Saccharomyces cerevisiae S288C: one gene and its partner. Changing the gene in region 1 together with any one later gene gives a genetic interaction. Each region holds a gene or a part of one and is shown on either strand. Other genes may lie near its edges.

The links. A genetic interaction does not mean that the proteins touch.
Region 2: mutations in PFK2 (region 1) and ATP5 together harm fitness more than expected from each alone (negative genetic interaction), as found in Saccharomyces cerevisiae (2 studies listed by BioGRID).

Annotation. Positions count from the first base shown.
Region 1 is NC_001145.3:671,132-676,556, reverse strand, and holds PFK2 (6-phosphofructokinase subunit beta), read left to right. Parts: upstream 1-1,790; coding exon 1,791-4,670; downstream 4,671-5,425. Other genes in the region: YMR206W (uncharacterized protein), read right to left, coding at 1-661; INP1 (Inp1p), read left to right, coding at 5,232-5,425. UniProt on the Saccharomyces cerevisiae protein: Catalyzes the phosphorylation of D-fructose 6-phosphate to fructose 1,6-bisphosphate by ATP, the first committing step of glycolysis.
Region 2 is NC_001136.10:1,057,676-1,060,741, reverse strand, and holds ATP5 (F1F0 ATP synthase subunit 5), read left to right. Parts: upstream 1-1,927; coding exon 1,928-2,566; downstream 2,567-3,066. Other genes in the region: rRNA-processing protein BFR2, read right to left, coding at 1-1,115. UniProt on the Saccharomyces cerevisiae protein: Mitochondrial membrane ATP synthase (F(1)F(0) ATP synthase or Complex V) produces ATP from ADP in the presence of a proton gradient across the membrane which is generated by electron transport complexes of the respiratory chain.

The DNA of each region.
Region 1 (5,425 bases):
AGAGTTGCAATTTTAGTACGTAATTTTGTGTACTGTCTCTGTCAGGGAGCTTTCTTGGTACAGCCGCTTTCGATTCAGCCGCAGACAGTGCAGTAGAAGGAGCAGACTGATGATAGTTTGGTAAATACTTGACTCTCTGGTCTGAATCCGCAGCGTACGAGGCGATCCTTTGAATGTCCTTCGTGGGCTGTACAAAGTTTTTTGTTGTTACCTTCTGTTGCTGCTGGCGGTGATGCAAGGAGGGAATATGAGAATCGCTGAACCTTCTTGCTATGAACTGATGGTTGTTGTTGCTAGGCGACAGGTTATGTACACACTGATAAAGGTCGTAAATGTTCATAGAATTAGACAGCCTCTGTTGTCTTTTAGACATGAAGTCCCCGAACAGGTCTGTATTACAAGCCCCCTCGTTATGTAACTTCTCTCTTGGTGAGCACGATTCCGAAAATTCAGAGTCGTTATCGTTGATATTGAGCACCGTTTTAATGAACTCATGTTTCTTATTAGGAGTGGGAGATCTGTTACTCTCCAGAAAATAGTCGTCATGATGGCCACCACTTCCGGCACCGCTTCTCATATCCTCCCCCTCTTCCTCCTGAATAGCCTTGTAATGGATGGTTAGATGGGCAGATATGGGTCTATTGCTACTGCTACTCAGCATGGTTATATTCTGTTGTCTTCTTTACTTTAAGGCGAAAGGTCAGACAATATGCATATATATATATAGTCTTCGAATGCACGGCAAAAATGATATGAAGAGCTATGCTACAGTATATACTTCTTTGTTATTGCAATCAACGTGAGCCTTAACCAATGAGGAAGTAAGAAGGAAATAAGAAGTAAGACATAAAATAAAACTACAAAAAAGAAAGAAGATCCGCAAAAACCCAAGAACAGCATTGTAAGTACTACCATCTATATAGATCGAATATCCTACTAATATATAGTAACTGCCACACGAAAAACTGTGGGTGTAAAGACTATTCATAGCCATTCTCTGCTGCTTTGTTGCATCGTATCATCGCCCGTTTCAGCCAGTCCCGCATACCCCCTTTGCAACGTTAACGTTACCGCTAGCGTTTACCATCTCCACGCTAAAAGGAAAACGAAGATTAAGATAAAGTTGGGTAAAATCCGGGGTAAGAGGCAAGGGGGTAGAGAAAAAAAAACCGGAGTCATTATATACGATACCGTCCAGGGTAAGACAGTGATTTCTAGCTTCCACTTTTTTCAATTTCTTTTTTTCGTTCCAAATGGCGTCCACCCGTACATCCGGAATCTGACGGCACAAGAGCCGATTAGTGGAAGCCACGGTTACGTGATTGCGGTTTTTTTTTCCTACGTATAACGCTATGACGGTAGTTGAATGTTAAAAACGAAAACAGAGATATTGAATTGATCAATTTGATCAGTACGTATGTAATCTTTTGTTTGCCATGTTAAATCGGCCTTTTTTTCCATCCGGTCTTTATCTACCATTCATTTATTACATCGCAATGAAGTCTCTCGCTTCATGTTGTTGTTTTTTTTCCTGCCTTTTTTTTATCCGCTCTCATTCTTATTTTTCCTACTTGCATTTTATAAAACAATAATATTTTTTTCTTCTTTTTGTCCTTTATTTATTACTTCCTTGATTAAAAGCTTCTTATCTTCGGTTTCATAAAGAAGAAAATTCCTTTTTTTTTTTTTTTTTCCTTCTTCTTGCTTAAAAGCCTTTCTTATACCTCATTTGAACAATAGAACTAGATTTAGAGACTAGTTTAGCATTGGCCAAGAACTAACCATACGCAATGACTGTTACTACTCCTTTTGTGAATGGTACTTCTTATTGTACCGTCACTGCATATTCCGTTCAATCTTATAAAGCTGCCATAGATTTTTACACCAAGTTTTTGTCATTAGAAAACCGCTCTTCTCCAGATGAAAACTCCACTTTATTGTCTAACGATTCCATCTCTTTGAAGATCCTTCTACGTCCTGATGAAAAAATCAATAAAAATGTTGAGGCTCATTTGAAGGAATTGAACAGTATTACCAAGACTCAAGACTGGAGATCACATGCCACCCAATCCTTGGTATTTAACACTTCCGACATCTTGGCAGTCAAGGACACTCTAAATGCTATGAACGCTCCTCTTCAAGGCTACCCAACAGAACTATTTCCAATGCAGTTGTACACTTTGGACCCATTAGGTAACGTTGTTGGTGTTACTTCTACTAAGAACGCAGTTTCAACCAAGCCAACTCCACCACCAGCACCAGAAGCTTCTGCTGAGTCTGGTCTTTCCTCTAAAGTTCACTCTTACACTGATTTGGCTTACCGTATGAAAACCACCGACACCTATCCATCTCTGCCAAAGCCATTGAACAGGCCTCAAAAGGCAATTGCCGTCATGACTTCCGGTGGTGATGCTCCAGGTATGAACTCTAACGTTAGAGCCATCGTGCGTTCCGCTATCTTCAAAGGTTGTCGTGCCTTTGTTGTCATGGAAGGTTATGAAGGTTTGGTTCGTGGTGGTCCAGAATACATCAAGGAATTCCACTGGGAAGACGTCCGTGGTTGGTCTGCTGAAGGTGGTACCAACATTGGTACTGCCCGTTGTATGGAATTCAAGAAGCGCGAAGGTAGATTATTGGGTGCCCAACATTTGATTGAGGCCGGTGTCGATGCTTTGATCGTTTGTGGTGGTGACGGTTCTTTGACTGGTGCTGATCTGTTTAGATCAGAATGGCCTTCTTTGATCGAGGAATTGTTGAAAACAAACAGAATTTCCAACGAACAATACGAAAGAATGAAGCATTTGAATATTTGCGGTACTGTCGGTTCTATTGATAACGATATGTCCACCACGGATGCTACTATTGGTGCTTACTCTGCCTTGGACAGAATCTGTAAGGCCATCGATTACGTTGAAGCCACTGCCAACTCTCACTCAAGAGCTTTCGTTGTTGAAGTTATGGGTAGAAACTGTGGTTGGTTAGCTTTATTAGCTGGTATCGCCACTTCCGCTGACTATATCTTTATTCCAGAGAAGCCAGCCACTTCCAGCGAATGGCAAGATCAAATGTGTGACATTGTCTCCAAGCACAGATCAAGGGGTAAGAGAACCACCATTGTTGTTGTTGCAGAAGGTGCTATCGCTGCTGACTTGACCCCAATTTCTCCAAGCGACGTCCACAAAGTTCTAGTTGACAGATTAGGTTTGGATACAAGAATTACTACCTTAGGTCACGTTCAAAGAGGTGGTACTGCTGTTGCTTACGACCGTATCTTGGCTACTTTACAAGGTCTTGAGGCCGTTAATGCCGTTTTGGAATCCACTCCAGACACCCCATCACCATTGATTGCTGTTAACGAAAACAAAATTGTTCGTAAACCATTAATGGAATCCGTCAAGTTGACCAAAGCAGTTGCAGAAGCCATTCAAGCTAAGGATTTCAAGAGAGCTATGTCTTTAAGAGACACTGAGTTCATTGAACATTTAAACAATTTCATGGCTATCAACTCTGCTGACCACAACGAACCAAAGCTACCAAAGGACAAGAGACTGAAGATTGCCATTGTTAATGTCGGTGCTCCAGCTGGTGGTATCAACTCTGCCGTCTACTCGATGGCTACTTACTGTATGTCCCAAGGTCACAGACCATACGCTATCTACAATGGTTGGTCTGGTTTGGCAAGACATGAAAGTGTTCGTTCTTTGAACTGGAAGGATATGTTGGGTTGGCAATCCCGTGGTGGTTCTGAAATCGGTACTAACAGAGTCACTCCAGAAGAAGCAGATCTAGGTATGATTGCTTACTATTTCCAAAAGTACGAATTTGATGGTTTGATCATCGTTGGTGGTTTCGAAGCTTTTGAATCTTTACATCAATTAGAGAGAGCAAGAGAAAGTTATCCAGCTTTCAGAATCCCAATGGTCTTGATACCAGCTACTTTGTCTAACAATGTTCCAGGTACTGAATACTCTTTGGGTTCTGATACCGCTTTGAATGCTCTAATGGAATACTGTGATGTTGTTAAACAATCCGCTTCTTCAACCAGAGGTAGAGCCTTCGTTGTCGATTGTCAAGGTGGTAACTCAGGCTATTTGGCCACTTACGCTTCTTTGGCTGTTGGTGCTCAAGTCTCTTATGTCCCAGAAGAAGGTATTTCTTTGGAGCAATTGTCCGAGGATATTGAATACTTAGCTCAATCTTTTGAAAAGGCAGAAGGTAGAGGTAGATTTGGTAAATTGATTTTGAAGAGTACAAACGCTTCTAAGGCTTTATCAGCCACTAAATTGGCTGAAGTTATTACTGCTGAAGCCGATGGCAGATTTGACGCTAAGCCAGCTTATCCAGGTCATGTACAACAAGGTGGTTTGCCATCTCCAATTGATAGAACAAGAGCCACTAGAATGGCCATTAAAGCTGTCGGCTTCATCAAAGACAACCAAGCTGCCATTGCTGAAGCTCGTGCTGCCGAAGAAAACTTCAACGCTGATGACAAGACCATTTCTGACACTGCTGCTGTCGTTGGTGTTAAGGGTTCACATGTCGTTTACAACTCCATTAGACAATTGTATGACTATGAAACTGAAGTTTCCATGAGAATGCCAAAGGTCATTCACTGGCAAGCTACCAGACTCATTGCTGACCATTTGGTTGGAAGAAAGAGAGTTGATTAAAAGAAAATGACCTTTTATTACACTTTCTATTATTAATGTCAATTAATGTTAACCCATGTTTTTCTTTTGTGTCTATAATTCTTTTTTTTTATCTCTAAGCTTTTGAACAATGAATTTTTTGTTCCTTTCTTTTAATAATACAAGTACTACCCCATGAAACCAATATTATCATGCATTTTTATGAATGTCAAGAATAAAGATACTGTTATTTTTTGTGTCTTATTTTTTTTCTCTTTGTTTATTTAAACGTTTTCTAAAATTAAAACTTATGTATACTGGAATATGTGATATAGACGATTTAAAAGATAATTCCAATAAACGTCCCTCGGATCTCATATTTATAAAGGTACCCTTTTAATACAATATTTATACATGTGCGTTAAATACTTTGTTCTCTTATTATCTATGAACTTATCACGAAGAACGGAGATGTAAACAAAAAGAGTGAATGAACTATGAACTTTAAATTACCTTATTACGGAGGAAGTATTCCTTCACCTATGAAGGATACAAGGTCTACATTTTTCGTCTGATAACTCTCAGGAAATTAAACAAAGTGGTATGGTTTTATCAAGGGGAGAAACAAAGAAAAATAGCGTGAGATTAACGGCAAAACAAGAAAAGAAACCTCAATCTACGTTTCAAACTTTAAAACAGTCACTTAAACTTAGCAACAATAAAAAGTTGAAACAGGATTCGACCCAACACTCAAACGATACAAATAAATCTGTTAAAGCCAAAAAAAATGGCACGTC
Region 2 (3,066 bases), on another chromosome or scaffold:
CTATCTTTGACAACGGGAGAAATCAATTCTGGTAGCCTGCCATTAGCACAGTCTTTTTGGAAATACAAAGGCGTTATGTTTCTCCTGTTCAACTTTGTTCTTTTCATCAAACGGGACATATCGGATAATTGGTTTTCGACTTGTACATCTGCAGGTAAGTTGATAGCTTTGAATTTGTTAGATGATAAAGCAGCGTTACCTGATGCAGAAGAAACTTTGGTAGACCACTTGTTTAATACGGCAGTCCTGTACTCTTTTAGTTCTGAGTCTAAGCTATTAGTTTCTTGGTAAAGCTCTTTGAGAGATCTTTTTTTGGACAATTTATGCTTCGCCACCTCTTCATTTTGAGTGATATGATCGCCAAGTTGGAATTTTATTCTGAAATTTATCAACCGATTGAATAAATTATTGAACAGTTTTTCGTTTTCCTTCAGCAAACGCTTTGTTTCCTCTGAATCATCCATTTTAGCCTCTTCCCAGGACTCTGTAGTTAATGGGAGCTTATTTGCTGCAATTACAGCTTTTTGTAGTTTTATTCTCAAATCAATGATGTTGTCAAATAATTTTGTCTGTTGTAAAATGGAATAACCCTTCGAAGCATCTCTTTGAACTGATTGAGACAGTTTGTTAATAGCTTGTTTAGTCTCTTGTTGAATTAGTTTCGATAGTGCATGCCTTTTCTGTTGAGCCTCCTCCGTTTCACCGCCGTCCGCGTCTGATTCTTCTTCATCAATCTCTACTTCTTCATCTTCAGAATCTGTCCTGAATGAAAGAGCATCTTCCTCTTTTTCTTCTTCCTCTTCTTCTTCTTCTTCTTCGTCCTCATTCTCGGAAACTTCTTCATATAATGCTTGTCTTGAACCTTTAACACCTGTATATTTTGGATCGTTTAGTTCTAAACCTTTTTCTGCTCTTAACTTAGACTTTTCCACCTCCAAATAGTGCGCCTTCTTGGTTTCTTCTGTGTTGCTATTTCCATAGTCGCTTAAATCACTTTCTCCATTTTTTTCATTGTGTTGAAATAAAGATGCATTTTCCTCATCTTCAATATCGAAGTCTTTATTGACCGGTTTAATGGCGATATCGGAAATTTGATCCGCTAGTGATTTTTCCATCTTTTTTTGCTCTATATTTATTGGTAACAGTGCTTATTGTTACTCAATGTATGGTACGCTGCATACCTATCAAGATGCGACTACATATATACAATTATCTCATCTCATCGCGTATTGAAAAATTTTCCATCTTCTAATTTTTCAGAACCCATAAATTCGGGTAACGATCAGTGGAAAAAACTTAAATCCGCAGTAATAGGCTTGCAAAGGACCAAAGACAGCATATGCAGCAGTTAAGAAATCTAAGAATGCATTGTATATTAGAGTAGTATATGGAAAAGCTCGGACTGGGAGCCGTAAAATCTCTTTCCCGTAAGATCTGGCTGCAAACCTGGTCTACATAAATGTAGTACATTATAAGGGACTACCAAGAAATACGAAGCGCTCAGATATCTCTTAAAGTTCATTTTTTTGCCGGAATAATCTTGGTTTAGTAACTTATAAAACTACTTACGTCCAATAAATCGTTATATTTTATGCCGTCGTCATAAAGTGGACACTTTCGAGAGACGGTGCTGGCCAATAAGATGCTGATATTTGAAATATCATTTACCCGGGCCCGGGTGGGAAAAACAAGGAATTAAAGATAATGAAGTGATCTTTTGGCGAGATAGTAAAACTTTCAATTATCTAGGAACAATTTCAAACGCCAATTGTTAACTTTGTGTACAGTATTTCTAGTTTTTATCTCATTGAAAACAAAATTCAGTCAACTTGGAAATTTAAGCAGGCTACTGTGGCATTGAGATATTTTTCCGCAGAGTAAGAACCGATTAGCAAGTTACCGCATTATTTTTAAACCGTGGACAATCATGTTTAATAGAGTCTTTACCAGGTCATTTGCATCAAGCTTAAGAGCTGCTGCTTCCAAAGCTGCTGCTCCCCCACCGGTGAGATTGTTCGGTGTTGAGGGCACTTACGCAACAGCTTTATATCAGGCCGCTGCAAAGAACTCCTCTATTGATGCTGCCTTTCAATCTTTGCAAAAAGTTGAAAGCACAGTCAAAAAGAATCCAAAATTAGGTCACTTATTACTGAATCCTGCATTGTCATTGAAGGACAGAAATTCTGTCATTGATGCCATCGTGGAGACTCACAAGAATTTGGATGGTTATGTCGTTAACCTATTGAAGGTTCTTTCCGAAAATAACAGACTGGGATGTTTTGAAAAAATTGCGTCTGACTTTGGCGTTTTAAACGATGCTCACAACGGGTTACTTAAAGGTACAGTGACTAGTGCTGAACCATTGGATCCTAAATCTTTCAAGAGGATTGAAAAAGCTTTGAGCGCCTCCAAATTGGTGGGGCAAGGTAAATCTTTGAAGCTGGAAAACGTGGTTAAGCCAGAGATTAAGGGTGGTTTGATTGTAGAACTTGGTGACAAGACTGTTGACTTAAGCATTTCTACAAAGATTCAAAAACTGAATAAGGTCTTAGAGGACAGCATTTAACGTTAATAATATAGTTGGATATGCTCAACTCGTTTGATGTTACTTTCTTTGCCTCCCTCCTAATTTTTGATTCTGTTCAAATATATATTCTTTTCCGTGAATTTTTCCTAAACATCAAAATTACGTACATATACGAATAAATAAGAAACCCCTCTAAAAAGTGAATTTTTTTGTTCGAGACAACCATTTTAATCATATATATGTTCGTGTATCCAGGCAAACTTATATTAATCGCAAAAAAAAAAATTATAAGTGTATATATGGAATAAACATAAAAAATAATAAAAGAAGAAAAAAAAAAATAATGAAGAATTCTCATCAGTTTTCGAAGATTTCAAGAAAGTCCGAAGAACATTTAAGACCTTTTTGATAATTCAAGATGTGCATGCACAATAATAACCATTTCATAGTTGAATTTTGATGTATTCTTTCGTTACAAATCAAATATATAGTCAAAGTCACGCCTATACACTTAATAATATGTCTTGATGTATATAAAT